Linked DNA regions of Macaca fascicularis. The protein of the gene in region 2 interacts with the protein of the main gene of each other region in a pairwise test. Links are inferred from orthologs where the notes say so. Each region holds a gene or a part of one and is shown on either strand. Other genes may lie near its edges. The genes, in order: MOB3C, FAM118A and ATOX1.

Evidence for each region.
Region 1: the proteins of FAM118A (region 2) and MOB3C interact in binary tests that used the Homo sapiens proteins (3 or more experiments, as listed by UniProt). The link is inferred for Macaca fascicularis from reciprocal best matches to the Homo sapiens genes FAM118A and MOB3C.
Region 3: the proteins of FAM118A (region 2) and ATOX1 interact in binary tests that used the Homo sapiens proteins (3 or more experiments, as listed by UniProt). The two-hybrid records come from large-scale screens. The link is inferred for Macaca fascicularis from reciprocal best matches to the Homo sapiens genes FAM118A and ATOX1.

What each region holds. Positions count from the first base shown.
Region 1 is NC_088375.1:188,069,630-188,080,919, reverse strand, and holds the start of MOB3C (MOB kinase activator 3C), read right to left. Parts: upstream 6,033-11,290; 5' UTR 5,844-6,032; intron 536-5,843; exon of another isoform or gene 1-535. Other genes in the region: ATPAF1 (ATP synthase mitochondrial F1 complex assembly factor 1), read right to left, coding at 10,728-10,851. UniProt on the Homo sapiens protein: May regulate the activity of kinases.
Region 2 is NC_088384.1:6,241,901-6,252,410, reverse strand, and holds the end of FAM118A (protein FAM118A), read left to right. Parts: intron 1-1,727; coding exon 1,728-1,760; intron 1,761-2,700; coding exon 2,701-2,784; intron 2,785-6,314; coding exon 6,315-6,442; intron 6,443-6,749; coding exon 6,750-6,818; 3' UTR 6,819-8,293; downstream 8,294-10,510.
Region 3 is NC_088380.1:158,588,628-158,599,137, reverse strand, and holds part of ATOX1 (copper transport protein ATOX1), read left to right. Parts: intron 1-569; coding exon 570-645; intron 646-6,257; coding exon 6,258-6,382; 3' UTR 6,383-6,428; intron 6,429-9,734; exon of another isoform or gene 9,735-9,874; intron 9,875-10,510. UniProt on the Homo sapiens protein: Binds and deliver cytosolic copper to the copper ATPase proteins. May be important in cellular antioxidant defense.

The DNA.
Region 1 (11,290 bases), on a different chromosome or scaffold from region 2:
ACGGGGGGCAAGTAAGAGACCTCACTCTCCTCCCTCTCTCCCTCCCTCTGATCTCTGGCCAGGTTTCCCCCACTAGCTGAATCCTCCCAGAAGCTAAGAACAAGGGAACCTGTCGCTGCAGCCTGTAGATGTCAGCCTCCTAGGGTGTAGAAATGGGTGGAGGGTGGAGAGCCATCTGAGGAACCATGTGGGGTCAGGGCCGACTTCACAGGGGAAATGATTTGGAAACTGCTTGTGTTTTCCTTATCATTCAGTTCTAAATAGTTCATAAATTTCAATGTAATTTCCTCTTTAACTCTTGAATGATTTCGAAGTGTGTTTTTCAGTTTCTTAGCCTATGGGAGGTTTATGTTTTTCTTGTTGAGTTCTAATTATATTGCGTTGTGGTCAGAGATCATGGTCTGGAAGATTCTTCGGAATTTGATGTGACTTCCTCTGTGGCTTTGTGCAGGGTCATTTTCTGGACTTCTGAGCTGGGTTTTATAGGATAGGGAGGAGTTTTTCTGGTGAAGAGTGAACAGCACAGAACCTTACACTGTGGGAAATAGAAATGATCCATTTTGAAGGAATATCAGAAGTTCCCAGCTTATCCTCAGAGTCCCTGGGTGTCTGTGGGATGGGAAGCAGGTGGAAGGTTTGGGGGAAGCCAGAAAGCCCAGATCTCTCAACTACCTGTACCCTCTTCCTGCCCTTCTCAGTCCTGGTTAGAGAGACTAGTTCTTCTAGGAGGCTCTGCTGGGGCTGAAAAGACCCAGACCTTGGAGAACAGTGTCCTGGCTTTACCATAATTTCGCTGTGTGGCCTTGGGATGGTTTTGCCCTCTCTGATGGCACACTGCAACCCTACAGCACTGGATACCTACACAAGACAGGCTCTGTTCCCTGCCACTGTGCCCTGAGTATGATAAATGGCTCCAGAAGAGTTTAAACAAGGCTCATCTCTGAAGCTTGGCGTGAGCCAGTGAGGACCTACGATAGGACGTGACCTTTTCCACTACTCAGCCTGGGCACAGGCCCCCCTTGCAGTGGGAACTCTGAGTGGCAGCAGGGTGGTGTCTGCCTGCTGTGTGCCTTTGGGAAAGCCCTTGCCCCTCTCTGGGCCTCAGTTTCTACACCTGTACCATGAAAGCATCTTCTAGCCACACCAAGTACCACTCCAAGTACCGTATCAGAACCAGCTTCCTGTGCCTTCCCACTGGAGGCCTGTATCCAGTGACTCCACTGATACAGAGTGGCCACTTCCTGGGGACTCCACAGCCCTTCCTATGCCAAGAAAGTTCCCCCTCCCTCCCTGCCCCACACAATGAGCTACTGCACCCTCAGTTCACCTTACCAGATGTCTGGCAGCTACTATAGCCTGATGGGGCCCACCCTCTCCTCACTCTCTCCCAAGAAAGAGTTTCCATTTCAGCTTCTGCCCCTCCCTGCCCAGGAGGCAGGCTCATCTATCCTGGATTTTCCATCCTGGCCCACTGAGGAGAATGCCATGGGCACCCTTATGGCATTCAGAGGAATTGAGGTTAGACTTCCTTTCACTTGAAGGAGACAAGGTTCAAGGGAAGATGGCAGGGTAAGACAAGGTTGACAAGGATATGCACTAAAATTCTGTGTGACTATGGACAAGGCACTTGTTCTCTGAGCCTATTTCCCCTTCTCTAAAGTAAAGACAACAACAACAACATCTGCCCCACAGAAGAGCTGAGAGAATCAAATGTGATAGCCCTTGGAAACAGTAGAAGGCTGTGGTCAGTCTGTTTCAGGGGTGCTGCCTTCAAACACCCAGCAGGTGTTTGTGTGGAAGAGGGACTGAGCTTGCTCCAGGGTCCTGGAGAGCAGTGGGCAGACACCCAGGACAATATGAAGGGGCGCTTGGCATATCAGAGCTGTCCAACCATGCAGCCTGGATGGCTGTGCTGTTCTCTCGGGAGGGAGCGGTGTAAGCAGAAGTTACCAGCCCCTGGTGACATGGACTTCAGAGGGTTTCAGTCCCTCCAGAGAAGGGGAGGGCCCTCTTGCTTCTAAGAACCTCAGGCTCCAGTGTTCTCTGCTCCAAGCTACTCCTCCTTCCCAGCCCTCTCCCCTTAAGGTAGAGGCATTGCTCTCATCTCTTCCATCTTGGGAAGGGGACCTCTGGAGACTGGGGTGGAAGCCTGGTATGCATAAGTGCCTGAAGACAATTTCACAGCCCTCAGACCTCACCCTCAACATGGTCCCAGTAGGCATTGTCCCCTCCAACCATTTGGGTTAGTTCCCAGCCTGGGGTGCCCCGGGAGTGGAGGTGATAGTTGTGGGGGAGGGGTGGTTTCACCAGTGTTCCAGGCTCAGCCTTCCATAGAACCCACCATGAAGGCTGCCCAGGAAATTCTGTCCAACCCTGGCCCCTCCTCTGCTGCTGGGGTGCCTCCATTTCAGCCTCTGGGGCTGCCTGCATAGAGCAACCCCTACTTAGTTCAAAACTTTTCTACAGAAAGCCCTCAGATTGCCCCAGTCTGGATGCACCCTCCTCCTTTCTCCACAGCACAGCATCCCTTCTCCAAGTGAGTTCAGTAACACCTGCCTCCCTGCCTCAGAGTTGCCAGCAGGGATGGGGGTTTTTATGGTCCCCAGAGGCCTGGGTGTTATCTTTTAGCAATAATGGTAGTAAATTATGGCCGGGCGCAGTGACTCATGCCTGTAATCCCAGCACTTTGGGAGGCCAAGGCAGGCGAATCACAAGAGGTCAGGAGTTTGAGACCAGCTTGGCCAACATAGCGAAACCCCACCTCTACTAAAAACACAAAAATTAGCCAGGCATGGTGGCTTGCACCTGTAATCCCAGATACTCAGGAGGCTGAGGCAGGAGAATCACTTGAACCCAGGAGGCAGAGGTTGCAGTGAGCCAAGATCCAGCTTTGGTGATACAGCGAGACTCCATCTCAAAAAAATAAAAATAAAAAAATAATGGTGGTAAATTATGCTTTAAATTATTATGGTGGTGTGAAAACACATCACTTTCTTCTATTTGTTCATTCATTCTTACATTCCACAAGTGTTTACTGAGGGCCCATTAGATGTCAGGCACTGTATGTTGGCCAGTTGTAGACCTTCCCCTTGCTTTGTGGGTGGTGACAAAGGCCTCGGTCTTCTAAGGAAGTTCCACTGGGCCCACGTGTCCTATTGGCTACAGAGGAATATTATTGAACAACAAGTCAGGGAGGGGGTGGCTTGTAAAAGGGAAAGGTTCTTGGATATCACTTAGTGTGATCTCCTCGAAGTATGTGGAAAATTGAGACATAGAGAGAGAAAGAGATCAGCCCAATGATGAATCATGACAATAAAAACCATTAAGTGAACCTTACATATGCCTCTCCCTGAAAGGCATATTCTCATTTCTTCTTCTCAGCAACCCTGGGAGAGAGGGAGGTTTATCTTTCTAGAGCTTTTAAATTGTTCTTCCCTTCAGAGAGGGATGGAGGGGCTGGAGAGAAAGTTCCACTAAGTAGGGAGAAGGGATTGGCCATGTTTAGATGATGTTCCAAACCCTACACTGCGGCTCTCTCTGGGTCCCATCTTGGCTTCATGTCCAGGAGATGGGAAAGCTGTGTCTGCTGCAGCGGGAAGCAGCAATTCGGTGGGTGGAGTCCACTTCTTGGTGGAGACTCATGCTGCACCCTGTAGAGTCTGGATTCCACACAAGTACAGCTTGTGACTTCCAGCAGTTGTTAATCCAGTATGTCATCAAATTGCATTTGGGGCCTTTTCAAGAAGCAGCTGTAGGAGCTCTGCTTTGCCTAAGGCTAAGTAGACTAAGGGTATGCTCTTCTTTCCCAGGAAGTTTTCCTAAATTACACCAGTTGCCTGGAACCAACCCTCCTCAGGGGGGAGCCCTTGACACAAAAAGTTCTCAGTGGTTTGTAGTTGTGCTCCTTGGTTAAGCCCATGGAGGTTGCGTCTTCCCTTTTGGACTGTAAGCCCTCAGAATTGGGGTTTTATTTATTTTGCCTCCTCCCATATTACCTTGTAGCAGCAACCGACAGTTGTAAGGAATGTTGTGGTGGTTTACAAAGTGCTTTTACTAACTATTTTTTTTTTTTTTTTTTAGATGGAGTCTCGTTCTGTCACCCAGACTGAAGTACAATGGCGTGATCTCGGTTTACTGCAACCTCCGCCTCCCAGGTTCAAGCGATTCTCCTTCCTCAGCCTCCTGAGTAGCTGGAATTACAGGCACACACCACCATGCCCAGCTAATTTTTGTAGAGACAGGGTTTCGCCATAGTTGGCCAGGCTTGTCTTGAACGCCTTACCTCAGGTGATCCACCGCCTCGGCCTCCCAAAGTGCTGGGATTACACATGTGAGCCACTGCGCCTGGCCTACTCTGGTCATTCTTGAGTCCTGCAACAACCTTGGAATGCGAGTATTGGCTCCAAAAGGTGAAATGACTTGGTCAAGAAGTACAGCTTGAAATGGCAGAGCTGGGCCGCGTGAGGTGGCTCATGCCTGTAATCTTAGCACTTTGGGAGGCTGAGGTGGCAGATTGCTTGAGCTCAGGAGTTAGAGACCAGCCTGGGCAACATGGCGAAACCCCATCTCTACTAAGAAAATACAAAAATTAGCCAGGTGCAGTGGTGAGTGCCCATGGTCCCAGCTATTCAGGAGGCTGAGGCAGGAGGATTGTTTGAGCCTGGGAGGCGGAGGTTGCCGTGAGCCAAGACTGCTCCAAGGCACTCTAGTCAGGGTGACAGAACAAGACTTTTATCTTAAAAAAGAAAGAAAGATGGCCGGGCGCGGTGGCTCAAGCCTGTAATCCCAGCACTTTGGGAGGCTGAGACGGGTGGATCACGAGGTCAGGAGATAGAGATCATCCTGGCTAACACGGTGAAACCCCGTCTCTACTAAAAAGTACAAAAAACTAGCTGGGTGAGGTGGCGGGCACCTGTAGTCCCAGCTACTTGGGAGGCTGAGGCAGGAGAATGGCATAAACCTGGGAGGCGGAGCTTGAAGTGAGCTAAGATCCGGCCACTGCACTCCAGCTTGGGCGACAGAACGAGACTCCGTCTCAGAAAAAAAAGAAAAAGAAAAAGAAAAAAAAAAAGAAAGAAAGAGAGAAAGAGCAAGCAAGCAGAGCTGAGACTCAAAAACAGGTCCAGTCACAGGGTCTATCCTTCTGCCCGACACTGCCTGAGCACTTAGCAAATATAAGTTAGGCAAAGAACAAGTCAGTTTGAATGGGGGTTAGACACTTTCAAAAAAATGCTCTCCTGGGAAAGTAAATGATAAGACATCTGTGCCTGGATCCATGTTAAAGCAATTGGCAGCATTAAGTACATCGACCATCCTCCATAACCTTGACATCACCTTAGACTTCTCACTCACTCTTTTGATACTCTTGCAAAATCTGCCGGGGCAGGTCATATTCCACACATTCTACAGATAGCACCCAATGGAGGAAGTCATTTAGTGTGAGCTGAGAGTTGAAAAACAGATAAGAAGGAGGCCAAGTACAGAGAGAAGAAAGGGAAACAGAAGGCTGTCTGAAGGTCACTCGGCTTCTAGAGTGCCGAGTTGCCTGCCTCTGGGAAGAGGGCATGAGGTAGACCATCACTGACAGACTGGAGCTTCCCTGACTTTGAGAGCAATTCCCTCTCCGCAGGGGTGCCCAGAGGACACAGTGCAGGTTGCTGGCTCTGAGACAAACTGAGAAGGGTGAGAAAGTTCCAGCAATCAATCCTAGCTCCAATGGGGTGTGAGTCTCCCAACTGAGCTCTGTAGCTGAGTTCCCATCAATCCCTCACACCCCTCAACCCCCTCCCCTGACACTGCTGCCTGCCTGGATTTCCATATATCATCCCCCTCTGCTCACTCACCATAGGCGAGTACAAAATGCATGCAGGATGGATGGAGAGCTTCAGCCTGTGCAGGCAACACACAATTCTCTATGTAGCTGCAGGGGCCAGGCACAGATAGTCCAGCGCAACAGATAATCCAGAATTTGTTTCCAGGGGTCACGAGCCAGGGAAATTCTCAGCTTTCAAAATCAAACAAGGAAAACATCTGAACTCCAAGCATCTGGGAAGGCTTTCCTCTCTTGCCCCATAGGGGTCTTACCTAAGGGCATGCTGGGAACAGCTAGTCTCATCCAAGAAATCTTTACCAGAGGCAGACAATAATAAAATCTTTGTCTTTTTCAGATATTTTCCAGTTGGGTTGCCTTGGACTGAAGTGCAAAGAAAATTTGGAACAAAGAGATAGAAGGAATGCTGCTACCGATACCCTGTGTGACCTTGGGGAAGTCACTTCACCTGGTCTGGAGCCTTTTTCCTCAGGTGCAAAGTAAAAGTAAAAACTTATTGCAGGGGTTCCCAAATCAGGCTGAGTTTCAGAATTACCTGGAGAGAGTTAAAGAAAAGAAAAGAAAAATATTAAGTTGGTGCGAAAGTAATTGCGTTTTTGACATAAATGGCAAAAACTGTAATTACTTTCGCACCAACCTAATAGTTTCTCAGGCCCCACCCCAGGCCAACAGAATCTATGTCTCAATGGTGAAGCTCAAGAATGGACAGCTCTGACAAGTGCATCAGGTGTTTCTGATGCCCAGCCAGGTAGGAAAATGACAAGGTTAGATAGATTTGGTCTCTTTAAACTGTAAACAGTTATGTTTAATAAGTTGCCAAGGAACTAAATACATAGACATCTGTAACCAGGAATAACTTTGTCTCAGATAAGCCATCTACAAATAATCAGGCAGGCCTGCACCTTGGCCCAAAACTCCAGATGTTACCTGGCTTCCGACCTAGATGTTAGCTGCCAGGCTTTGGGTCTGCCTGCTCGCCTGCCCACCTCCCAGATTCCTGATGCCTGTGCCCTGGTCTGGTATGATTACCACTGCTCAAGCCTCTCTAAATTCCTGGAAGAGACTTTCTGAAAATTGAAACATGGTGTAGAAAAATAGTACAAAAGAAATATGTTCTATAAATGAAAGGTCTAGTTCTAGGAGAAGATTTATGTTCCAGAAACAGAAATTCCTCCTCCTCTGTATAGATGTGCACCTTGAAAAGGTACTTAACCAGCTACCGTTTTGCACTTTTATTATAGTGCTAAGCACTCTGTGTTTGCTACATCATTTAATCCTTTCTTATATTTTGAGATAGGTCCATTATTATGTTATTTACAGATGAGAACACAAAGGCTCAGAGAGACTGAATAACTCGTCTAAGGCCAGACAGTGAACGAAAGGCAGAACTGGGATTCTAATTTAGTCCTGACTCTTCACATCTATGATGCTGTTTCCCCAGTGTCCTCATTTGTAAAATAGGGAATAATATTGGCCGGGTGTGGTGGCTCATGCCTGTAATCCCAGCACTTTGGGAGGCCGAGGCAGGTGGATCACCAGAGGTCAGGAGTTTGAGACCAGCCTGGCCAACATGGCAAAACCCCATCTCTACTAAAAATACAAAAAGTTAGCTGGGCGTGGTGGCACACACCTGTAGTCTCAGCTACTCGGAAGGCTAAGGCAGGAGAATCCCTTGAACCAGGAGGCAGAGGTTGCAGTGAGCCGAGATTGCGCCACTGCACTCCAGCGTGGGCAACAAGAGTGAGACTCTGTCCAAAAAAAAAAAAAAAAGGAATCATATTACTCTTAAGGTATTGTTGCAAAGATCAAATGAAAGAAACTTAGGCATCTCAGAGAGTCTTTTGGGGGTCACACACCAAGTGAGATTCAGCAAAATACCTCCCTGCTCCCTCTCTTCCCCTGCAAAATTAGTGCCAAAATGTAAGACATGTCTGCTACTTCTTACTTGACCAGAGGCAAGGTCAAAATGGGAGAATTAATGTGGGTTGAAGAAATGAGAGTGCAAGATGGGGATCCATACCATATTGTTAGTGTGGTAAAAATAGCAGTAACAAACATGATGTGGGGTCACAGTGGACCACATATCAAGCATGACCTAGTAGTGATTGTTTCAAACCATGGCAAATATTTTTTGGGTAAACGAAGATCTTGAGAGGACATCACTAATCTATGGTTACTGCCATGGCAGATGTAGAAGAGGACCAAGGTCACGTGAATATCATATCTATTGGGAGGGACATGGGTTCTGGGCAGTAGAGTGAAGATTCAAGTCAAGATGTGATGGGAGCACTGGACTGAAACCAGCCAGATGGAATGGGGCTATGTGTGGAGGTCCAAAGGACTAAAGTTCCAGGCAGGAAAAGCAATGTTTGACAACAGATTATGGGAAGATAGCAAGGTGGGAATAAAGACAAAGGCCAGGAAAGGTGGAGTCAGTGAGATGACTTCAGTAAGTGGCTATGTGGGGAAATGACTTCCAGGTGGACCATGCCAACTCTCAAGGGATGGCCACCCAGAATCCACTCTGAATACCCCACAAGAGCATCTTGGGCTCAACTCCGGGCTCCAACTGTGAGGCAGACACTGGTGACACTGGCTAGTCTGTCCAGATGCAGGTGAGCCAGAGGGTGAGGGGCTGGGGTTTTGGGTCATATAACTAAAGACAGACAGTTCTGCTGAAGAGATGCCAAAGCAACTTGAGAGTTATTTTTGCTTATCAGCAGGAGAGGTGGTTAGGTGGAAAAGTGAAGACTCTCCTGGGAGGTTCCATCTACAACAGGCAGAAGGAGGTGAGGGTAGTGAGAAGAGGCCAGATTTTGGCTAGGGGTGGGGAAGAACTGACTTACTCAGAGCTGTCTCAGCATGGTGCAGGTCAGTTAGCAGGTAGAGAGTTCCAGTCCCCGGGAAAATTTTAAACAGTTGTCCAACGGCTTAGTGGTGCTGTAGGGAGGCCTACAATGGTAGGTGGGAGAATTAGACTAGACCAGGGTTTTTTTTCAGTCTTTCTTGAAAACTGTTTCTTCAGATGACAGCTTATGAGAAGCCCCATAAATAAAACACAGATTCTCTGGTTGAGTTGGGGGGTCAGACTCCCAAGGTCCCCAGCTCTGGACTTTGGGGATTTCTCGAAGCACAGTTTGAAAACTGGTGATTGGATAGTCTGTACGGTCTTTTTTTTTTTGAGATGGAATCTTGCTCTGTCGCCAGGCTTTGGCTCACTGCAACCTCTGACTCCCTGGCTCAAGCCAGTCTCCTGCCTCAGCCTCCCGAGTAGCTGGGATTATAGGCACCAAACCCAGCTAATTTTTATATTTTTAGGAGAGACAGGGTTTCACCATGTTGGCCAGGATGGTCTCAATCTCCTGACTTGGTGATCTGCCCTCCTTGGCCTCCCAAAGTGCTGGGATTACAGGTGTGAGCCACCGCGCCCGGCCGTCCCTCAACCTTTTTTTTTTTGAGACAGAGTCTCACTTTGTTGACCAGGCTGGAGTGCAATAGCGCGATCTTGGCTCACTGCAACCTCCCCTCCCGGGTTCAAGCAGTTTTCCTGCCTCAGCCTCCTGAGTAGCTGGGATTACAGGCTCCTGTCACCATGCCTGGCTAATTTTTGTATTTTTAGTAGAGATGGGGTTTCACCATGTCGGCCAGGCTGGTCTCGAACTCCTGACTTCAGGTGATCCGCCCACCTCGTGCTAGGATTACAGGCATGAGCCACCACACTTAGCCTGTAAGGTCTTTTTTGTTTTTTTGGAGACTGAGCCTTGCTCTGTCCCCCAGGTTGGAGTGCAGTGGTGCAATCTTGGCTCACTGCAAACTCCGCCTCCCGGGTTCACACCATTCTCCTGCCTCAGCCTCCTGAGTAGCTGGGACTACAGGTGCCCGCCACCATGCCTGGCTAATTTTTTGTATTTTTAGTAGAGATGGGGCTTCACCATGTTAGCCAGGATGGTCTCGATCTCCTGACCTCGTGATCCGCCCGCCTCAGCCTCCCAAGGTGCTGGGATTACAGGCGTGAGCCACCGCGCCCAACCAGGTCTTTTTTAATGTTAAGGTTTGGCAAGGCAAGACAAGAATTTGAAAGTGACAGCCTGGTACTTAATTGTTTTGCTCCAAAAGTTTGTTCATCATCATCTCTCAGTTCTTTCTGCTTACAAACCCTGGACCTGACTGCCTTCTCTGTTCGCCCCTTGGCTTGGTTTTCCACATGTAGCCTCTGCAATAAGAGCAAGCAAAATGACCACTGTCTTGGGCTGGGACATAACCACAATGTGTTTGTCAGAGCTGGATCTCACTTTGCAAGCAATATTTGTAGACTTGGGTGGTCTGAGTTTAGTGGTCACTCAAACGGAGTTTATTCAGCATCCACAGAGTATCTTATCCCTCTCTACCAGGTCTCGTGTTGGACACTTGGAATATAATGTCCAGTAAGATATGATCCCAGTCTCCAAGGGCTATTCAGTCTGGTGGGGAAGCCAGGCTTGCAGGGGGGCCATGTGGAAGGGAATAGGTCTCAGGGAAGGCTTCTCATAGAGATACTACAGTGAAGCTTTGAATTAACTTAAGGAGGAATAGGTATTTGAAGCAGGCAAATGTATTTGAAAAGAGCAGAACAGAGGTAGGAAGAGCACAATGTGTTTAGGGAACTGCAAGTCATCCAGAATGGCTGGAGCCAAAGGAGTGGGTAGGAGAGGCACAAAATGAGCCTGGAGAAGACACCATGCACTGGATCCTGAAGCTCCTGTGAGCTGATCTAAAAGGACTTTGTCCTGAAAGCTCTGGGGAACCTGTCACGATTCATAAGTGGTTTGAACTAATTTTTCTTGTAGATATTCCAGTTCCTAAAGCCTGAAGACCTCAGAAGTAGCCCTGTTCAAGTGAATGTGAAGAATGAGCCAGCTCAGTGGACATTACAAATGATCCTATTAAGTGTGGAGCATGGGCAGTCATCTATTCCTGGGTTGGCTCCTGATGCAGACAGCAACCTTGAAGTCATCTCTTCCCTTTCTGTGCTCCAGCTCTCCCTTTTAGCAGAACAAGGATAAAGATGTTGTTATCAATCTGTCACATCAGAAGAATTGACAAGACCAAAGTTCTCCAAAAGAAGTCCTCCCTAGTTAGAACATGATGTCTTGCAAAATTGTCTGGAGGAATCAGAGGTACATAATGCATGCATTTTGTTCTTTAGTTACCAGCAAGAAAATTGGAAGACATGTTTCTCAGGGCTGGTTCCAGAGCCAACCATGACTTTTTTTTTTTTTTTTTTTTTTTGAGAAAGGGGCTCACTCTATCACCCAGGCTGAAGTGCAGTGGCACAGTCTGGGCTCACTGCAACCTCTACCTCCCAGGTTCAAGTGATTCTTGTACCTCAGCCTGAGTAGCTGGGATTACAGGTGTGTGCCACCATGCCCAGCTAATTTTTGTATTTTTAGTAGAGACGGGGTTTCGTTACGTTGACCAGGC
Region 2 (10,510 bases):
TGGGCCACAGAGCGAGACTCTGTCTCAAAAAAAAAAAAAAGAAAAGAAAAAAAGATAGCTGGGTTTGGTGGTGGACATCTGTGATCCCAGCTACTCTGGGGGCTCAGGTGGGGGGATCTCTTGAGCCTGGGAGTTAGAGACTGCAGTGAGCTGTGGTCAGGCCACTGCATTCCAGCCTGGATGTCAGAGCAAGCCCTGTCTCTAAACACAAAACATAAAGTAACTTTGAAGTTTACAACTGTACACATATGTATAGCTGGACACATTTATTCCTGTTTCAGGTTTCCTTAACCAAGAAAGAAAACTACCAGGCTAGCTTTATCAGTTGTGATACTTAACACTTGAAAGATGCAGATACCTCATATTTGTGTCCTGTCACTGCAGTTGAAAAGTTACAACTTCACAAGCACAACCTGATTTCATGATGAACACTTGACTTCTTTTTTCAAGTGATGTATTTTCCCTGTTCTGAATGTCCCTGTTCTGAATGCAGCACCTCTTTTAAGTAGTGCTCCTTGGCCCTTTTCAGAAATTGCTCATCTATCAGGAATGACCAGGATAATTGAGAAATTTTAAAACTTGGTCATCTTGACATAAGGGAATTAATAGCTGCGAGTTTGGCATCATAAAACATTGATGATGGCAAGCTTGGAAAGGCCTGTGCTGGCTCATTTAATTGTAACAGGAAACCCAGGCACACTCACCATACACTGGAACCAGGTTAGCCACAGAGGCAGGTGTATGTATCCAGCTGTGAACTTGGAGACTAGAGAATGCACAGATAATCCAACAGCTCAGGTTTTTCTTGTTTTTTTAACCACTATCATTTCTTTTCAAAATTGCTAATAATTAGCAAAATGGACCAATGTAAGTTCCATTTCCATAAATAAAAGTATAATTCTTATTAAGGGCAGAAGAAAGGAGCTCCTGCTTGCCGTGTGTCACCCCCTACTAGGAGTTCCATATTCTTACCTTAGTTGGGTTTTCAGTGGCAGCACGCAGCGCCAGTAAGCAGACGATTTCGTAGACGAGACGAGCGGAGCTGGCACAGGCACACAACGTGCCCAGTTAGCGCCCAGACATTTTGAAGCTGGGATTGGGATCCTGGCCTGACTGCAGAGCAAAATACACCATTTGGTGCGTCCTGGCACCAGCCCAGTGCGTGGCTCTGCAGAGAGGCAGCGGGCTTTCCTCATGTCTGCCCCCGTCCGCCGCTTCTCATTCCGCCCCCACACTCCCCGAAGAACAGGGCCCAGAGCAACCCTGCATGTGCTCGGGCTCCTGGAGTGGGGCTGAGCAGCTTTCTGTCGCGCTGAGGCTCCCTTTCCAGGTTGGGGCAGGCAAGTGGATTCGACAGGCTGCCGGAAGACTGCAAGGTCACTGGGAGTTTTAATCTGTGACTGTCATGAAGGACATTTGTACTCGAATTCATGGAGTGCCACTCCTGATGGGAGAGGAGGCCCATGCCAGTGACAGTCATGTTAGCGACCACGGACACCACGCCACGCTCCCTGTGCCAGCTGGCGCCTTCAGCGAGTCCTCGCACCAAGCCTGGAAGGTGCAGAAGAGAGGGCAGCGGGCGGCCCAGGAGCCCACCTTCCGTGTGGGCCGAGCTGCCCAGAAGCCTGTTGCCAGTCACTGCCGTTCCTAGTCACTGCCTGCCAGCGGCTGAGGAGGACGAGCTCTGGGTGTCTCGGCTCCACTGACTGCTTTTCTTTCTCCTTCAGATGCTGACCGAGTGGACAGCACCACATTATTGGGTAAAGCAGATCTTTCTTCTCGCCAGCCTGTTTTTTGCCTACACATTCCATTGTCTTCTGTCATTCACTGTAAAATCATAAACGTTTGTTTTTCACCTTAAATAATTAGCTTGTATTAAGACAGCCCCACTGAAGATGATAAATAGCCATGCATTAGCATGGTGCCTGCCACACCGAGACACTAAAAGCCATCCCTTTGACGAGGAAGCACAGCCGGATCACACGTGGGCCAGCTGGCACCTGAGAATAATTTCTTGCCCTAGAACCAAGAGTGACAGGGGACTTGGAACAGGTTCTATTTGTGGGATACCATGTGGGGCAAGATGCAGTGCCTTAGAATGACCCAGCTCTTCCGCAGCGTTCATTGCACGGGTCTGAGCTTTCACACAGAAGCTTCTATTTAATCCTTGTTTGAAATGTGAACGCTCTTATTGCTGGGCTCAGTTCTGCCTGGTTATACATTTAACAAGACTTGGTGGCTACAAGCGTCCTCCTGTGTGTGAACTGGGCACCAGGTGCCTCCCCTTGCTGAGCCATTTGGGTAAAAGGGACTCTGGTGAGTGGCGCAGAGGCCTCTGTCGCAGCCCCGTTTTCCCTGCCTGTTTGGCCCAGTGCGTTCACAGATGAGAAAACGCGCATCGATGTGGGAGCTGCTCGCATCACATCCATGTTAGCGGTGCGGGAGGTATAAAACCGCCGCAGTCAGCTTCCCATCCACCTATTCCCATGCGAAAGGACATCTTTATTACAGTCGCTTTCTTACTGAAATGCGACTCCCGGAAGCATGGCTTTCTTTGGAGAGAAGCCGTGGTGCGGTCAGTGTCATCTGCAGGGGATGGCAGGGTCTGTTTGGCCTATGCTTCAGTAAGGTCACATTTATAAACTGTGCCTCGGCGGGTGGATTCTAAATAAACAAGCTTAATACATTTTCCTCTTTCAGGTAATGCATGCCAGGACTGTGCAAAGAGGAAGTTAGAAGAGAATGGAATTGAAGTTTCAAAAAAACTCAGACAATCAGATACTGGTATTGTGTCCGTTCTTTTTGTGGGGAGCTGCCTCAGGTCGGTCTGGTTGGCAGGCATCTTCAGGGACCATGCCGCGCTTTAATGCTCCGGGCCCTGTGGTGGGAGGATGGTGCATACATTCTGTCAGGGCCAGAGAGCACAGGAGGCTTAGCAGAGACCCTGACCTCTCACCCCAACCCAATTCCAACTGCCCAGAGGTGCTGGTGCCTCTTTAGAAAACTGTTATGGAGAAAACATACACTAGGAAGGTGCAGCGGGCAGAAGGGTGCTGTCTACAAAAAGAAAAGTTAAAAACATGAATAAAAAGTGCACAAGTTATGTAAGGTCAGCTCAGTGCATTTTTGCAAAGTGCACGCTCCCATCTAATCACACCCAGTTGAGGTAGCAGCATTGCCAGGACCCCCCTTGTCACTCTCCAGCCTTCTCCAGCCCCTAAGGGTGACCACTAGCCTGATGCATGTCACCCGAGTCCTGTAGAAAAGCACTTTAAATCATTTGAGCTGTGCTGCCTGTTACAGACTGAGATGTAAGTGACTGAACTATCTAAACAGTGTATTTGAATAGGCCTCTCTGTTGACACTACGAAGGGCGATCTCGCTCGTTCGTGCCGGTCCCTCCCTCTCCCCTTCTCCTCCTCCTCCCAGGTTTGCGTAGTGCTGTGTGTTATTTCTCATTCTTTAAATAACAGACTTAAGCCAGACTTCCCAACACGAAGCCTGGGCTGGATGGCCCCCCGCTTGCGTATCCCACCCCCTGGCCCGCCGGCTTCCCCGTTTTGTTGGTCTCCGTGGTGACAGGACAGAAGGGAAATGAGACCCCCAGTCTGTCTGTAGGTTGACTGTAAAAGTCGGCAAACAAAAGCATTTCCTTGATGAAAACAGCGTCAGTGTTCTTTCCTGCTTAGCCAGCTTGTGGCGGTGGCCGTGGGCCCAGTGCCACGGCACCTGTGCCAGCTGCAGATGTGTTCTCAATGTCAGGGTCAAATGTGGCTTGTTCTTACATTCCATTCTCCCATGTTTTATTGTTTAATATTGGGGCTTTGAGACATTTGTGTTACTTCTTATTTTTTGAGGAGTTTTTAGGTTCTTCTTTCCCCTTTGTTTTCCAAAAAATAACATTTCCCAATATTCTTAAATGTATGCATTCCCTCAGCTTTCAGAACTAAGAATTTTTTTTTAAAAAAAGTATGCATTCTCTTCATCCTGCCACCCCACGTCTCCCAGGACACCTTCTCCTGGTCAGCTCTGTGGGGGACTGCTGTGTGCCTGCCTCCCGAGCTTCCCTCCTCCTCTCTGAGATGGAGGCCCAGGTCTCCCTTGTTCTGGCCCCCCGTCCATCCTGCTAGTAGCTCCTGAGGCTGCTTCTGCAGAGCCCTGTGCGGGGTCGCCTCCCGAGGGCGATGTGTCTGCAGGTGTCTGTGCCATCCTCACGCTCGTTGGTAGTTTTGGCGTGGGATTCTTGGTTGTGATTCCCCCAGACTCCACTGTCTGAAGACCAGGTTTCCTATGAAGAGGGTCTGATGGGAACCTGTTCCCAGTGATTTGAAGGTACCCGTTGCTTTTTTTCCTGGGAGTTTTTAGGGTCCCCTTTTCCCTTGAGTAGAAATCCAATGAGGATGTATTTAGGTGGAAAACTTTTTTTACCTGCCTTATTCACGTGTTCTTTTTCTTCCTCCATTTCTCCAGTTCTGGAATAGTCTGTGATTCTCTTTATTTCTTCTTTCCATCTTCTCTGTTCTCCCTTTCTGGAAGTCATACTAGTTGGGATTGCTTGGATTGATTTCCACTGTCTTTTAAGTTTTCTCTGATGTCTTTTTTTTATTTTTTGAGACAGAGTCTTCTGTCGCCCAGGCTGGAGTGCAGTGGCGCAATCTCGGCTCACTGCAACCTCTGCCTCTGGGGTTCGAGCCATTCTCCTGCCTCAGCCTCCTGAGCAGCTGGGACTACAGGCGCCCACCACCATGCCCGACTAATTTTGTATTTTTAGTATAGATGGGGTTTCACTATGTTGGCCAGGCTGGTCTCAAACTCCTGACCTTGTGATCCACCCACTTTGGCCTCCCAAACTGCTGGGATTATAGGCGTGAGCCACTGCACCCAGCCAAGCTCTAGTTTTCTTAGTTACCTTTTCTCAGAGCATCTGCTGTTCTATGTCTGTGAGAACTCTGGAGACAGAAGTCAATCTGGTTATCTGACTCTACTACATTCCTGAAAACAGTGGGAGAGAGGATTTTCATATAATAGGAGTTTATATTTTAGTACTTCATATAAGTAAACCAAAGTAAAACACTCTTAAATACCTACATAGCAGTCCACCAAAAATTTCTGAGAGCTATGAAGCGTCCAGCTTTTCAGTTACCTCTTCATTTAACATTGAAATCCTTCAGCGGGTGTGTTGGAGCAGTATTATGTCCCTGCATGTTCCTTCAACACCACAGGGACCATGTGCAACAGTACATGTTATAAAGATTCATAGTGAGTGCAAACTTAGTCAAGTAAAATAAGGCAGTTCTAAAAGGGCCAGCTGCAGAGTGAATTATAGCGCAAGTGAGGGCTGGCAGCAGGGGGTGGGGGTGCCCTAGTGTCCTGCCGTCCAGGGGCAGGAAAGATGAGAGTGAACTGGTGTGGGGGTCCTCATGGGAGAGCTGTGAGGGGCAGCTGTCGCAGACTCGACATCCTCTCGTTTAGTTTTATACAACTTTGGCCAGGCGCGGTGGCTCACACCTGTCGTCCCAGCACTTTGGGAGGCTGAGGCAGGTGGATCACCTGAGGTCAGGAGTTTGAGACCAGCCTGGCCAACATGGGGAAACCCCATCTCTACTGAAAATACAAAAATTAGCCAGGCGTGGTGGCACGTGCCTGTAGTCCCAGCTACTCAGGAGGCTGAGGCAGGAGAATTGCTTGAACCTGGGAGGCAGAGGTTGCAGTGAGCCGAGATTGTGCCATTGTACTCCAGCCAGGGTGACAGAGCAAGACTCCGTCTCAAAAAAGATAAAATAATAATAATAGTTTTATAGAACTTCAGGTGCACTTGGGGGCACACACGTTTTAGAGAATTAGATTTTGATAGTGTTTTGGATCAGACTGAAATATTTTTGCAAATATTTGGATTGTGAGTTCAGCTAGTAGAACCATTGTGTAAGTAAAAACAAAACACAAAACTGGTGTTCTGTGAACTGTTTCCTCTGGGGTAGGTGGTTCTTTCCCACAACTTTCTTTCATGTTCCTTGTTTGTTTTCTGCACATCTGGGCTCCTCCAGTGCCTGCTGACAAGAACGAAGGCCCGGGCAATTATGCTCAATAGATTGGCTTTCTTCTGCCGTTGCTCTTGTTTTGTGTACATAGATTTTGTCCCCCCGTAGCCTACCTCTGACTGGTGTGCACATCAGGAGGCAGGGCCTACTGCCTGGTAGACCTTGCTGTGGAGCATTGGGCAGGGATTTTCTTCAGTACCTGTGAGATCTGTGCTCCTAGACGCCATCACCTGCACCTGCAGTCCCAGTTGTCCCCACACAGTCATGTCTCCTTAGGGCGAAGCTCCTGGCCTCTGTTGTACAGAAAGCCTTGGCCTGTCCTGCATGTGGGTGAGAGAAGCCAAGCCCGGGGATCCCAGAGGAATCGACAGGCTGCTTCTCCATACCTCCAACAGGCTCTCACTGTATGTTTGTTGAAATTGCCCCATCCTCAGTCCACTAAGAAATAAAAGAGCATCCATGTTCATGGATTGAGATTCCCACAGATGGTTGCAAATGTAATTGTCATCACTTGCTTGATCCCCTGATGGTATTGATAATTACACAAGGTCATTTCCAGACAGTGACTACTGTTTCCATTGTGGAGGGGTTTTCTAAGTCTTCCGCATGTAAGAACAATTGTAAAGCAGTTTCTGAAATAGAAATCTATTGCAAATAATTTCTTTTAGCTGGACTTTAACCCTTGGGCATATCGTTCTTTTATTTAAACAGATGATGCTGGAGGGTCTTGAAATCTTTAAAACCAGTAAAACCTGCAACTTGAAAACCAGCCTTCTGTAACCACAGTGCCCAAACGAAGAGGAATGCGTGGAGAACTCCACGTGGATCTCTGATTGCAAAACCTCACATACACCAAGAGAGCCACATGGGCGTGTGGCCCTCAAGGCTGGGTGAGAGGGCTCCCCTGTGTGTTGAACTGTGCAGGAGGTGACGCGGACACACTTCAGGTGGACTTTGCAAGGACTGATGGACAGCTACCTCAGGGGCCAGGATCCATGGGAAGGGGTGGACCTGGTGTTCCCGTTCCCATCTGACAGGCTCTCTTTTGTCAAGGTGGTATTTTTTGTAATAAAAGGGGAAGAGTAAAGACTGTCCAAGCAACAGTAGTTGCCAAAGAGAAAATACGAAATAGACACTTTTTTTTTTTTTTTTTTGAGTCAGAGTCTCACTGTCACCCAGGACAGAGTGCAGTGGTGTGATCTCAGCTCACTGCAGCCTCCACCTCCTGGGCTCAAGTGATTCTCCTGCCTCAGCCTCCCGAGTAGCTGGGATTACAGGCGTCCACCACCATGCCTGGCTAATTTTTGTATTTTTAGTAGAGTTGGAGTTTCACCATGTTGGCCAGGCTGGTCTCGAACTCTTGACCTCAGGTGATCCACCTGCCTCAGCCTCCCAAAGTGCTGGGATTACAGGCATGAGCCACTGCGCCCAGCGAAATAAACACGTTATAATTTGTATGTGGAAACATGTTACTATAGAAAGCATTTTAAAGGTATGTTTGTTCCACTGTTAAATAGTAAAGAATGAATCCGCTAGTGAAAATGGTATGTTTTTAGGGAGAACAACTGGATCAAAGGGCTTCTTTGGAATTAGTTTTAGTAACTTCTGTTCCAAAGAAACACAGGTCTGATATTGCTAAGAACTGTGAAATCGGAGGAGCCAGAGGCCCTTTGCCGAAGTTCAGGCCAGCGTTGTGCAGGGCCACTGTGGCACTGACAACCAGGACAGCCCAAGTTTGAAAGACCAGGTTTCAAACATTATAAATTCCAGGCTTTGCAAGTCTGTTATTGTCTCTTAAAATTCTCTTCTATGGCCCATATTAAGGGAGTTTGCAGAGAGTGAGGGAGGCAAAACTTGAAAAGGGCCTGCAACACTTTAAACCTTCTCAGGTTCACCCACATGAAACGGCTGTGCTGGGTGCGCTGCTGGTGCCGGGGAACTTCTCTGACTGTGACACAGCAGCGGCTTCTGTGGTGGTTCATGAGTGGCCCTACGGTCAGGGGTTCTCTTTGGAAACAAACAGCCCTGCTTGGTTTCAGTTTGAGGCCACTTATCTTCAATGTGACATTTCTTGCCAAGCCCTGTGACACTCCCCATTGATGACTCCCACAGGTACAGAGAAAGTTAAGAACAGGAAATAGAAGGGTAGAATGCAAAGGGAGGGAGATAAGCCCTGAAAACTTTTTTTTTCTTTTTGAAGCATGGAAAACAAATATTTTATGCCACTCCAGCCATAAATAAAATTTTAACTTCAACCCTGTGTGCTCAGTGTTTCTTTAGTTATGCCAAGGCTTGCTAGAATGCTATTTAGTGAGAATTTGTAGCTTGAGTTGCCACCCAACTGTGAAATCAACTAAATGATTACTTGAATGTGTTTAAATGTTTTAAAAAGCAAACATTATAAATTATTGTTTTAAATGTCATTTACTAAGTGCAGTCAGGGAATATCTGAATCTGAGAGCTGGCCAGACACAGGGTATAGCAGAATTACAGGCGTAGAGGATGCTGTGCAGTAGGATGTAAAGCTCATTACAGCCCATTTTAAGAAAAGCTTTGTGTTCTCTGCTGGAGGACGCAGCCATGTTGCTGTACCACATGGATGTATCTAGTTGGTTCTGTTGTATGCTCGTTGTAGAATGTAAAGTTTATTCCAGTGCGATTGATAGATTAGAGGCAACTCCAGCATAGTGTACTTGCTTGTGTATAGTTTAGTCAGTGAGAAACATCACATGAGGAGGCAACAAAGTTGGCCCTGCTGTTTACTGCCTCAAGCTAGAATAGCCATTACATTTTAAAATGGTTACATTTTAAGGCAGGGTAGCTGAAACCTGTAATCCCAGCACTTTGGGAGGCTGAGGCGGGCAGACCACTTGAGGCCAGGAGTTTGAGACCAGCCTGGCCAACATGGTGAAACCCTGTCTCTACTAAAAATACAAAAATTAGCTTGGCGTGGTGGTGTGCGCCTGTAATCCCAGCTACTTGGGAGACTGACGCAGGAGAATCACTTGAACTAAGGAGGCAGAGGTTGCAGTGAGCCCAGATCGCACCACTGCAGTCCAGCCTGGTTGAGAGGGAAATTCCATCTAAAATAAATAAATAAAAAATAAAAATAAAATGGTTAAAATTTAAAGTTATACAAGTACCTGCTAAGAACCTCCTTACTATCTCAACAAAGCCTGAATATGTACTGTGGCCCTTAAATTAGGTTACTGGGCATGCTCTGTTATATCAGAAATGACTGAATTTGGTGGGATCACTGATGGTCTGTCTGTAAGTCAAAGTTATGAAAGAGAACAGCCAAGTGCGGCGGCTCACGCCTGTAATCCCAGCACTTTGAGAGGCTGAGACGGGTGGGATCGCTTAAGGCCAGGAGTTCGAGATCAGCCTGGCCAATGTGGTGAAACCTTGTCTCTGCTAAAAATACAAAAATCAGCAGGGCACGGTGGCGGGTGCCTGTAGTCCCAGCTACTTGGGAGGCTGAGGCAGGAGAATTGCTTGAACCCACGAGGTGGAGGTTGCAGTGAGTAGAGATCGTGCCACCGCACTGCAGCCTGGACGACAGAACGAGACTCCGTGTCAAAAAAGGACAAATAGAGTGGCTTCTGCTGTCTGCAGTTCATAGAGGTCAGCTATCTCACCGTACTGGAAGTCCCCCTCAGGGAAGGAACCAAATCTTTTTGAGATTTAATTTCTTCCTCACAGAGTGCATTCTGTTACTACATGAAACAGTGTTGTTAAAACGGATACATTTACTCAGGAGGCTACTCCTTGGTTAGCACTTGGGCCCAAAGCGGTCTAAAGTGGAAGCCCACCTCAGAATTTTCTTGTTCCTTTTTTTTTTTTTTTTTTTTTGAGACAGTCTCTGTCACCCAGGCTGGAGTACAGTGGTGCAATCGCAGGTCACTGCAGCCTCCACCTCCTGGGTTCAAGCAATTCTCCTGCCTCAGCCTCCCAAGTAGTTGGGATTACAGGTGCACTCCATCATGCCTGGCTAATTTTTGTATTTTTAGTAGAGACAGGGTTTCACATTGGCCAGGCTGGTCTCGAACTCCTGAGCTCAAGTGATCCACCCACCTCAGCCTCCCAAAGTGCTGGGATTACCAGCATGTGAGCTGCCGCGCCTGGCCTGTCTTGTTCCATTTTGAAGTGGAAATGAAGTGGTGAAAGTGCAGCTTTCCTGCACATAACAACGTTTGTAAGTAGAGAAGTCAGTTGTCACTTGAGAAACTCTGTATTCTTCAATATTTCTGTAACAGAAATTCTATTTAGAAGAATTCGGATTGCATTGAAACATGTAATTCAATTTCACCATTAAAGTATTTTTTGGCTTCTAAAATTCTACATTGGAGACATCTGAAATTAGAACATGTTTTATTGATATTTTCAATACTAACATAGTTTCTCTGAAACCATTTCCCAAAAGCCAGGTTCAACAGTTTATTAACAATCTTATAACTAGTATGTTTAAAAAC
Region 3 (10,510 bases), on a different chromosome or scaffold from region 2:
ACCCAGATGCTGCCTCTGAGAATGCGGCCCTTGGATGAAAGCAGAATCACCTGGGATAATGACTAGACATAACAGATTCCCCAGCCCAGACCTGCTGACCAGAACCTGTAGTTTTTGCAAGCTGCAGGTGACTCTAGTGCAGAAAATAATTTTCTAGTTCATAAGTGGGCCCACCAGAACAGCATTGTTAGAAGTATGGGGGCCCATCCCTGTCAGAGTTATTGGTGGCCCTGAGACAAAGCTCATAGCTCAAGAATCAGTGCTTTGAAGGTAGGACTGGGAAAAAGCATTTTAAACTAGATCTCCAGGTGATTCTATTCACTGTGTGCCAGACACTGCTAAAGGATTTATGGGGATGATTCCATTGAATACCACCTATGAGGTAGAAACTCTTAGCTGCTCTATAGTTGAAGAGACTGGGGCTCAGAAACAGGCTCCTGATGAGTCTGATGCCAACCAGGTCCTACCCAGTCTCTCTGCCTTCTCTTTTGACCCTGAGTGGGCCTGTCTGCTGGCACTGTGTGTGGGTCACTCTGCAGGGCTCGGGTCATGCTCCCCCTTTGTTTCAGAAGCACGTGTTCTCTGTGGACATGACCTGTGGAAGCTGTGCTGAAGCTGTCTCTCGGGTCCTTGATAAGCTTGGAGGTGAGTGAGTGGCCCTCAGTTAGGGGTGGGATAGAGGAGACAGATGCACTTATGCCATGTTCAGATGCATGCAGATGTTGCAGGAGAGGCTTTGGGTTAAGCTGATCATAACAGTAAAACTAAAATGTATTGAGTACTTAGCACGTACCAACTACTCTTGTTAGTTTCTTATGTGGATCACATCATTTAATCCTAACCACAGCCATTTCAGATAGCTTGTTTGACTAGCTCCATGTTAAACAGGAGACAGCTGAAATTCAGAGACGTTAACTTATCTGGGATCACATGGTCAGTAAATGGTGGAGCTGGGATTTAGCCAAATTAACTAGAACTGCCAGGACTAGCTCTGGAACCATGGCAGTACTAGTGAATATGTTGGTCATCTCCAGTGTATACTGCATGACACATCTGAGTGTCATTTTCTGTTAAAAAAAATTTTTTTTTTGAGACGGAGTTTTGCTCTTCTTGCTCAGCCTGGAGTGCAGTGGTGCGATCTTGGCTCATCGCAACCTCTGCCTCCTAGGTTCAAGCAATTCTCTTGCCAGAGTCTCCCGAGTAGCTGGGATTACAGGCATGCGCCACCATTCCTGGCTTATTTTGTATTTTTAGTATAGACGGGGTTTCTCCATATTGGTCGGCTGGTCTCGAACCCCTGACCTCAGGTGATCTGCCTGCCTCGGCCCCCCAGAGTGCTGGGATTACAGGTGTGAGCCACCCTGCCCAGCCTCTATTAAGATTTTTTAAATGGGGCTGGGCACGGTGGCTCACACCTGTGTTCCCAGCATTTTGGAAGGCTGAGGTGGGCGGATTGCCTGAGCTCAGGAGTTCTTGAGACCAGCCTGGGCAACATGGTAAAACCCTATTTCTACAAAACGTACCAAAAAAATTAGCCAGGCATGGTGGCACATGCCTGTACTCCCAGCTACTTTGGGGGGCTGAGGTGGGAAGATCGTTTGAGCCCAGGAGGTTGAGGCTGCAGTGAGCCTAGATCATGCCACTGCACTGCAGTGGAGGCAACAGAGCAACACCCTGTCTCAAAAAAAATAAATAAATAAGAAAAAAAAAGAAAGATTTTTAAAAAGTAACAATTTGAAAAAATTTTGTCTTTTTCTATTTCTTTGCTTCAAAAAATTTTTTTAAGTAATTTTGAATCGCTCACATGCAGGGTTTTTTGTTTGTTTGTTTTGTTTTTTGAGATGGAGTCTCACTCTGTCGCTCAGGCTGGAGTGCAGTGGCACATGATCTCAGCTCGCTGCAACCTCTGCCTCCTGGGTTCAAGCAATTTCTGGCAAATTTTTTGTATTTTTCATAAAGATGGGGTTTCACCATGTTGGCCAGGCTGGTCTTGAACGCCTGACCTCAAGTAATCTGCCCACTTTGGCCTCCCAACGTGATAGGGTTACAGGCATGAGCCACTGCACCTGGCCACACGTAGATATCCTTAAAGCACCTCTTTTCAACAATCAGTCTCATCCAGCCTTGTCATTTCACATCTGGGGAAACTGAGGCCCAGAGAGGGCTGGGATCTGGTCCTGGGACTGAATGAGGTAATAACTGAGTTGTGATCAGAGTTTTGGCGATGCCAGTCAGCCTTCTAAGACTTTTTCTTTTCTTGTTCCCCTACATGAACTGTCACACAATCTTCTAAAATTTTCTGTTTTAAAACCCTAAATAATAATGACATTAAGTTTTCAAATGGCTTCCACATGGACGTGATCTCATTAGCAGTCCTCTGAGCTGTACTTTTCATCTTTGGAATGAGGATGTTGATGCCAGTACCCAGGAGGTTAAGTGACTTGCCCAGAGTCCCGCAGCAAGTCAGTGGCTGACCTCTGGCCCTGTAAACTGGAATCTTAATCTGAGAGAAACTGAAACAGTGGAAAGAACCTGGCTGCTGACTTTCCATATGACTGTGGGCCCTTGTTTCTCAGGCCTGGGTTTCCCCAGCTGTGGTATAGGAATGTATATCTTGTGTATCTGTATCAACTTCTACTGTTGATGCTTTTTTTTTTTTTTTTTTTTGAGATGGGGTTTCCCTGTTTTGCCCAGGCTGGAGTGAAGTGGCATGATCTCTGCTCACTACAACCTGCTTCACGTGCCCTCCACTGGATTCAAGTGATTCTCCTGCCTTAGCCTCCCGAGTAGCTGGGATTATAGGTGCCTGCCACCGTGCCTGGCTAATTTTTTTTTTTTTTTTTTTTTTTTTTCCCCTGAGATGGAGTTTCACTCTTGTTGCCCAGGCCAGAATGCAATGTCGTGATCTCAGCTCACCGCAACCTCCGCCTCCCGGGTTCCAGCAGTTCTCCTGCCTCAGTCTCCCGAGTAGCTGGGATTACAGGCGCGGGCCACCACACCCAGCTAATTTTGTATTTTTAGTAGAGACGGGGTTTCTCCATGTTGGACAGACTGGTCTCAAACTCCTGATGTCAGGTGATCCTCTCTCCTTGGCCCCCCAGAATGCTGGGATTACAGGCATGAGCCACTGCGCCCGGCCTGTTGACGCTTTAAAAATGAAACTGCACAGGAGCCCCTCAAATAAAGCAGCAGGCTCTGGATGAAGTGGGAACGGGCCTAATTTTGTTTGACAGCTCAAGGACACCTACCCACCCCAGGAACTTCATCCAGGCCAGAGTGTAGTGGCGCGACCTCAGCTCACTGCAGCCTCAACCTCCCAGGCTCAAGTGATCCTCCCACCTCAGCCTTCTGAATAGCTGGGACTACAGGATCACACCGGGCTATTTTTTTTTTTTTTTTTGTAGAGACAAGATCTCACTTTGTTGCCCAGGCTGGGAAACCATATGATTTTTGGTTTTGTTTTTGGTTTTGGTTTTGGTTTTTTTGAGACGGAGTCTTGCTCTGTCACCCAGGCTGGACTGTCGCCCAGGCTGGAGTGCAGTGGCCGAATCTCAGCTCACTACAAGCTCCGCCTCCTGAGTTTATGCCATTCTCCTGCCTCAGCCTCCCGAGTAGCTGGGACTACAGGCGCCTGCCACCTCGCCCGGCTAGTTTTTTGTATTTTTTAGTAGAGGCGGGGTTTCACCGTGTTAGCCAGGATGCTCTCGATCTCCTGACCTCGTGATCTGCCCGTCTGGGCCTCCCAATGTGCTGGGATTACAGGCTTGAGCCACCGCGCCCAGCCTGTTTTTGTTTTTGAGAAGGAGTCTCACTCTGTCTCCCAGGCTGGAGTGCAGTGGTGTGATCTCGGCTCTCTGCAACCTCTGCCTCCCAGGTTCAAGCACTTCTCCTGCCCCAGCCTCCCAAGTAGTTGGGATTACAGGCACATGCCACCACACTGAGCTAATTTTTATATTTTTATATATTTTATTAAAATATAAAATTATTTTTTTATATTTTTTATATATGGAGTTTCACTATGTTAGCCAGGCTGGTCTCGAACTCCTGACCTCAAGTGATCCACTCGCCTCAGCCTCCCAAAGTGCTGGGATTACAGGCATGAGCCACCACGCCCAGCCAACCATATGATTTTTAAGGCCCCTTGCTGGAGGATCTGCCTTTGAGCTTTGGCAGGTTTCTCCCCATCTTTTCCTACTGTCCCTGCTTGGATGGCCTCTTGAGAAAGTCAGGAGGGTTTTTTGAGTTGCTTAGGGCCCTAAAAGAAGAGTGCGAGGGCTGAGGAATCACAGATTAATAGCATTCTTGAGCTGGAAAGACCACAGGAGCTGGCCAGCCCTGAATCCTTCATGTACAGATGAGGTAACTGAGGCCTATGAGAAACAGGACCCCACCCCTGCCATCCATGGTCACCCAGCAAGTCAATGGTGAGGCCAGGCCTAGAACCTCTCAAGACTTTTCCTTTCTTTCTGTGTGCTCTTTTGTCAGAGTAAAACTCTGGGTCCTCTCATGTGCTGCTGGGGGGCTATAAATTGGCATAGTCATTTAGGAGGGCAATTTTGCAATGTCTATTAAACATTCAAAATGTGTCAAACATCTGTCGCCCCACAATTTCCATTCTGTGAATTCACTGTATAAAAATATTTTTATAAGTTTTTTTAAGACAAGTTCAAGTATGTTTGCTATAACATTGTGATAGTGGTGAAAAATTAGAAGCATCCTCAATGACCTTTAACATGGATTAATTAAGTGGATGTGTGGTACGTTCACACTATGGAAGATTGTAGCTTTTAAAAAAAGAATAGGGCCAGGCACTGTGGCTCACGCCTGTAATCCTAACACTTTGGGAGACTGAGGCAGGTGGATCACCTGAGGTCAGGAATTCAAGACCAACCTGGCCAACATGGCAAGACCCCATCTCTACTAAAAATACAAAAATTAGCCAGGCATGGTGGCTTATGCCTGTAATCCCAGCTACTCGGGAGGCTGAGGCAGAAGAATCGCTTGAACCCAGGAGGCAGAGGCTACAGTGAGCTGAGATCACATCACTGCACTCCAGCCTGGGAGACAGAGCAAGACTCTGTCTCAAAAAAAAAAAAAAAAAAAAAAAAAAAATGGGCTGGGTGCAGTGGCTCACACCTGTAGTCCTAGCACTTTGGGAAGCCAAGGCAGGCAGATCGCTTGAGCCCAGAAGTTCAAGACCAGCCTGGGCAATATGCAAAAGCCTGTCTCTACATAAAATACAAAACTTAACCAGGCATGGTGGCATGTGCCTGCAGTCACAGCAACATGGGAGGCTGAGATGGGAGGATCACCTGAGCCTGGGTGTTCAAGGATACAGTGATTTGTGATTGTGCCACTGCACTCCAGCCTGGATAACACAATGAGACCGTGTCTCTAAATAAATAAATAAATAAAAGTAATAAATAAAGAAAAAAGTAAAATATTAGCAAGACCTGTTTATGTAGTGTGATGCCATTTGGAGAAATTATTTTTCATTTGTCTATCTGGGACAAAGTCTGGATAGAAGCCGGACTGTTCACAGTGATCTCAAGGGGTAGGATCAATAGGGGGCCTTACTGCTTCTACTTTTATTTAGAAATGTTTGCTTTTTTGGAAAAAAAAAATGTCTATATTACCTTTGCAATTAAAAAAAAAAAAACGTGGCTGGGCGCAGTGCCTCATGCCTGTAATCCCAGCACTTTGGGAGGCCAACGCGGGCAGATCACTTGAGATTAGGAGTTTGAGACCAACCTGGCCAACATGACAAAACCCTGTCTCTACTAAAAATACAAAAATTAGCCAGATGTGGTGGCGTATGGCTGTAATCCCAGCTATTCTGGAGGCTGAGGCATGAGAATCACTTGAACCCCGGAGGTGGAGGTTGCAGTGAGCTGAGATTGTGCCACTGCACTCCAGCCTGGGCAACAGAGTGAGTCTCTGTCTCAAAAAGCCCTAGTATAGAGCAGGGATCAGCACACTACAGCCCATGGACCAAATCCTGCTCACAGCCTATTTTTGTATGTTCAAGAATAGAGTTATAAAAAAATATGCAGAATATACAACAGAGTCCATATGTGGCCCACAGTGCCTACAACATTTACTTTCTGGCCCATTACAGAAGAAGTTCGCCAATCCCTGCTCTACAGGAAAGGGCAAGGGTGGTTGTGAGTAGTAATTTAGAGCCTGAACTCTTTCTTGCTATATAACTGGGAGGGTCTGTGCTTCCTTTCCCCATACCCCATTTCCTCTTCCTGCAGGAGTTAAGTATGACATTGACCTGCCCAACAAGAAGATCTGCATTGAATCTGAGCACAGCGTGGACACTCTGCTTGCAACCCTGAAGAAAACAGGAAAGACTGTTTCCTACCTTGGCCTCGAGTAGTAGGCACCTGGTCCCCACAGCCCACAGGATGGACCAAAGTGGGCAGGTGGGTAAGGCCCCATCACTTGCTGAACAAACCTGCTGCTCACACCTCTCATCAGAGCTAACACCTTGGCCTTTGAGAGCTTGAGTGGAGCAGAAGAGCCCCCTGGGTTCTTTTCAATCCACTGTCTACCTTCTTTGAAGTGGTTACAAATATTTTATTATTGTCTAATGCAAATCACAAGTTCAGGGAATTCTTACAGCCCCTGTGAGTGGACAGAGCACTGTAAAGTCTCCCAGAGTCCTCTTTCGGACTTGGGGGTTGCAGTTCATGGATAGCAGGGTTTAAGTTTACAGTCTATGACCCTAAGCAGTGCATTTTGGCTCCTTTGTTTGTTCGTTTGTTTGAGACGGTGTTTCACTATGTGGCCCAGGCTGGAGGGTAGTAACTCTTCATAGGTGTGATCATAGTGCACTATAGCCTTTAACTCCGGGGCTCAAGTGATCCTCCTGCCTCAGCCTTCTAAGTAGCTGGAGCTGTAGGCACATATCACCACACATGGCTCTGGCTTTGATAAACTGACTGTCTCATCAGAGTTGACACTTATGCCTTGGGCCTTATTCTCCTGTGCCCTGACCAAGTGAGTTAATACAGACTGTGCCGCCCTCTCTACTTGAAACTGTTAGCTTCCTGAGCATGCCCTCTGTCCAGACTGGTACAAAAACAATAGCATGTTTGAGCTAGATGTTCCCTTCACTTTTATGTAATCCAGTGAGGCAGTAAGGGGCACTGTGCCACCAGTCTTCACTCTGGAACCAGGCAGACCTTACTCATTGATCCAGCCAGTCTCAGCAGGGCACTTCTGGCTGCCATTGCCCATGTAGCACATTTGACTCGTGAATTACAATGATCACCACATCTCTGATGTGGTTTGGTGCCCTGACTGTGACTGAGAAAAATGAGGCCAAGAGAGGGGAAGCGATTCAACCAAAGTCCCACCCAGGTGAGTGGCAGAGGCAGGAAGAAAGTCAGATATCCTGAATCGGGGTTCTGTAACTGTTACTGGTGGCATTGTCCCTGTGAATGGGCCCACGGAGACCCCGCAGACAGAGGCCAGCCACAACTGACTGGTAGGTCCTCTTCGAGGATAGCCTCCTTCCCAAAGGCGTACATTTGGAACCTGAGCCATGGCAGTGTTCTGTGTATGTGGTAACATCACATGCAAGTCACAAGATGTCAGATGCATCTGTTTTCGTCATGCACTTTCCATCCATAGATAGAATGCATATTCAGGAATGAGCCCAGGATGAATAACGAGGAATCTGGGATTCTGATTCCAACTCTGTCCTCATTTCACACTGACTTTGGGGACTTTTTACATTACAGAGATTTGGTCTTCCCATCGGTAAAATGGGGCTAACACCTCCAACCTGCTTTCCTGCCTTGTGGGGATTGGTGTGCAATCTCTCCACATATGAAGGCTTATCCTCTAGGGAAGTAAAACATCAGCTGTTTCCAGCATGTTGAAGAATAGTGTTTCTTACATCATTCCTCTACCCCTAGGGTTTCGTAGGGAGGGTGAGTGGATGGGGGCTCTGGACCTTCCATAGCTCCCAAACAGCCCTGTGTCATATTGGGCTTCCTGTAAGATTGTATTTTATGAAAATGCTCTGTAACAAGAAGGAATGGAGGGAGAGAAGAAAAAAAAAAACTCTTCCTGAACTAGCTATATACATGGGGGAGCCCTAATGCACACATCTTGGATTAGAAACTCCAGGCCTCGGCATATGAATTTTTTTAACTAAAAAAGTAATATCTGTTGGATGTAAACCATGTGTAGCTTAATGTGTTTTTCTCATAGAAAACATGTTTTCTCATGTTATTTTATTGAGATGAAATTCACAAGACATAATAATTAACTATTTTAACCCATTTATGCTGAATATTGCAAAGTTTTTTATGTGAAAAATCAAACCTTGGTGATGACCTTGAGCAGTAGGATATAAATAACTCCCACAAGCTTAGCATTCCAATAATGGAACACTAGGCATAAATGGGCTAAAGTCTATCATTTAGTGGCATTTGTTGCATTCACAATGTATGACCACCACCTCTCTCTAGTTTCAAAACTTTTTCATCATGTCAGAAACACACCCTATATCCATTAAGAAGTCACTCCCCACTACCCATTTCTCCATCCCCTGGCAGCCACTAATTTGCTTTCTACTACTACTCTGGATTTGCCTACCCTGGACAGATCATATAAAAGGCATTACATTATATGTGACCTTTTTGTGTCTGCCTTTTTCCATGTAGCATAATGTTTTCAAGATTCATTCAGGTCATATCATGTATCTGTAAATCATTCCTTCCTATGGCTTAGTAATTTTCATGGCACTTTTTATTTATTTTAGATTTTTTATGATAGGAAGTTTCAAACACATGTAAGTAGAGTGATAGAATGAATCCCCAAGTACCCGTCACCCAGATCCAACAATTAGTGTTTATTTCACCAAGGCCTGTTATTTTTTGATAAAAGCACTCTGTGACAAGAAGGAATGAAGGGAGAGAAGGAAAAAAACTCTTCCGGAGCTATCTATATCCATGTGGGGGAGCCCTAATGCACACATCTTGAATTAGAAACTCCACTGTCCTCATTGTTTCATCTGGGTAACGAAACACCCAGATTATTTTGAAGCAAATTCTAGACATCATGCCCACTCCCTCCTGCCCAGATTGTTTTGAAGCAACTTCTAGACATCATACAATCTTATCTGTACATATTTCAGTAACCATGTATTGTATGGAAAGGCTCCTGGAAATTCAGATGCACAGTACTCAGTAAGAATCACCTAAATAAGCCAGCTTTAGTCCACGTGCTCAGGCAACATGTCTTTGAAGTCTGCTCTAAGAGGTTCCTCAGTGACCCACTTGAAGCCAGGCTTGGGAACCTCAAAGATAGAGTGTTTATTGGTTTTGAAGTCACCTTAATCATCTGACTCTTGGCAGATTTATTTGCTCAAGCTTTTGTTCATTGCCTTTCCAACATAAACTGTAACAGGACAGGGAGTGCTGTTGACTGAGTATCCTGGCAGCCCTGGAAATTCCCCACAAGAGGGCTTTGGCAGTGATTGGCTTAGCAAGGTTAATGCGTTCCAGCCAACCTGAGTATAACAGGTTCATGGGAGTATAACAGACTTCATGGGAGCAGTGTGCAGGGCTGGACATTGGGGTTCTAGTCCTGCCCCTGCATCTGCACCCTAGGTTTTCCCCTCACCCCTGCCTCTTTGTGCATTTATTGCCTTTGCAATATCGCTATGTCCACAGCAGATGGCGCCTTTGTTCCACCTAACTTTCCGTCTTTCCTAGGATGCTGATCCTCCTCCCCTGGCTTCCAGACAGACCTGGGACTTGGCAGTCATGCTGGGCAATGGTGTTCCTGTGGAGACCCTCAGTTGTCCTATTCCTTCCTAGCTTCCCCGCAATAAAATCAAGCTGCTTTTGTTGGAGATGTTGTCTTGCCTAGTCTTGGTGTTGCTTGCTCACATGTAGGTGGTTACGCTTACTCGGGTTGGAGTTTTGAGAGTTCCCACCTGGAAGTCAGACACCCTGTAGATTCTGATTCTTTGCTGTGTGATCTTTAGCAAATCACTTCCCCTCTCTGGGCCTCATTTTTTCCTCACTATAAAGTAAAGGCATTGACCCAGAACAGTGATCCCCTTTCTTTTCACCGGTTTCGTAGATTTCATATTTTGAAAAACTTTTGTCTATCAGGTGAATTGCACAAAAGGTTATCAAATGTTAAGGCAAGTGGAATAGTGGGAAGAGGCTGTGGAGACAAACTGCCTGGGATAGAGTTCAAGCTCCAGTACCTCCCAGCTGGGCCACTTAACCTCTCAGTGTCCACAGACATAAAATGTGATGATAGCATCTACTGCAAATGGTGGTTGTGGGGATTAAATGAAGTGATACGTATAAATCAATTAGAGCAGTGATTGCTGGTTAAAAATCACTCAGAAAATATTAGTGATTCATTTTTGGCTTTTTGTTTGTTTTGAGATGGGATTTCTCTCTGTCACCCAGGCTGGAGTGCAGTGGTGCAATCAGGGCTTACTGCAGCTTTGACCTCCCGGGCTCAAGCAATA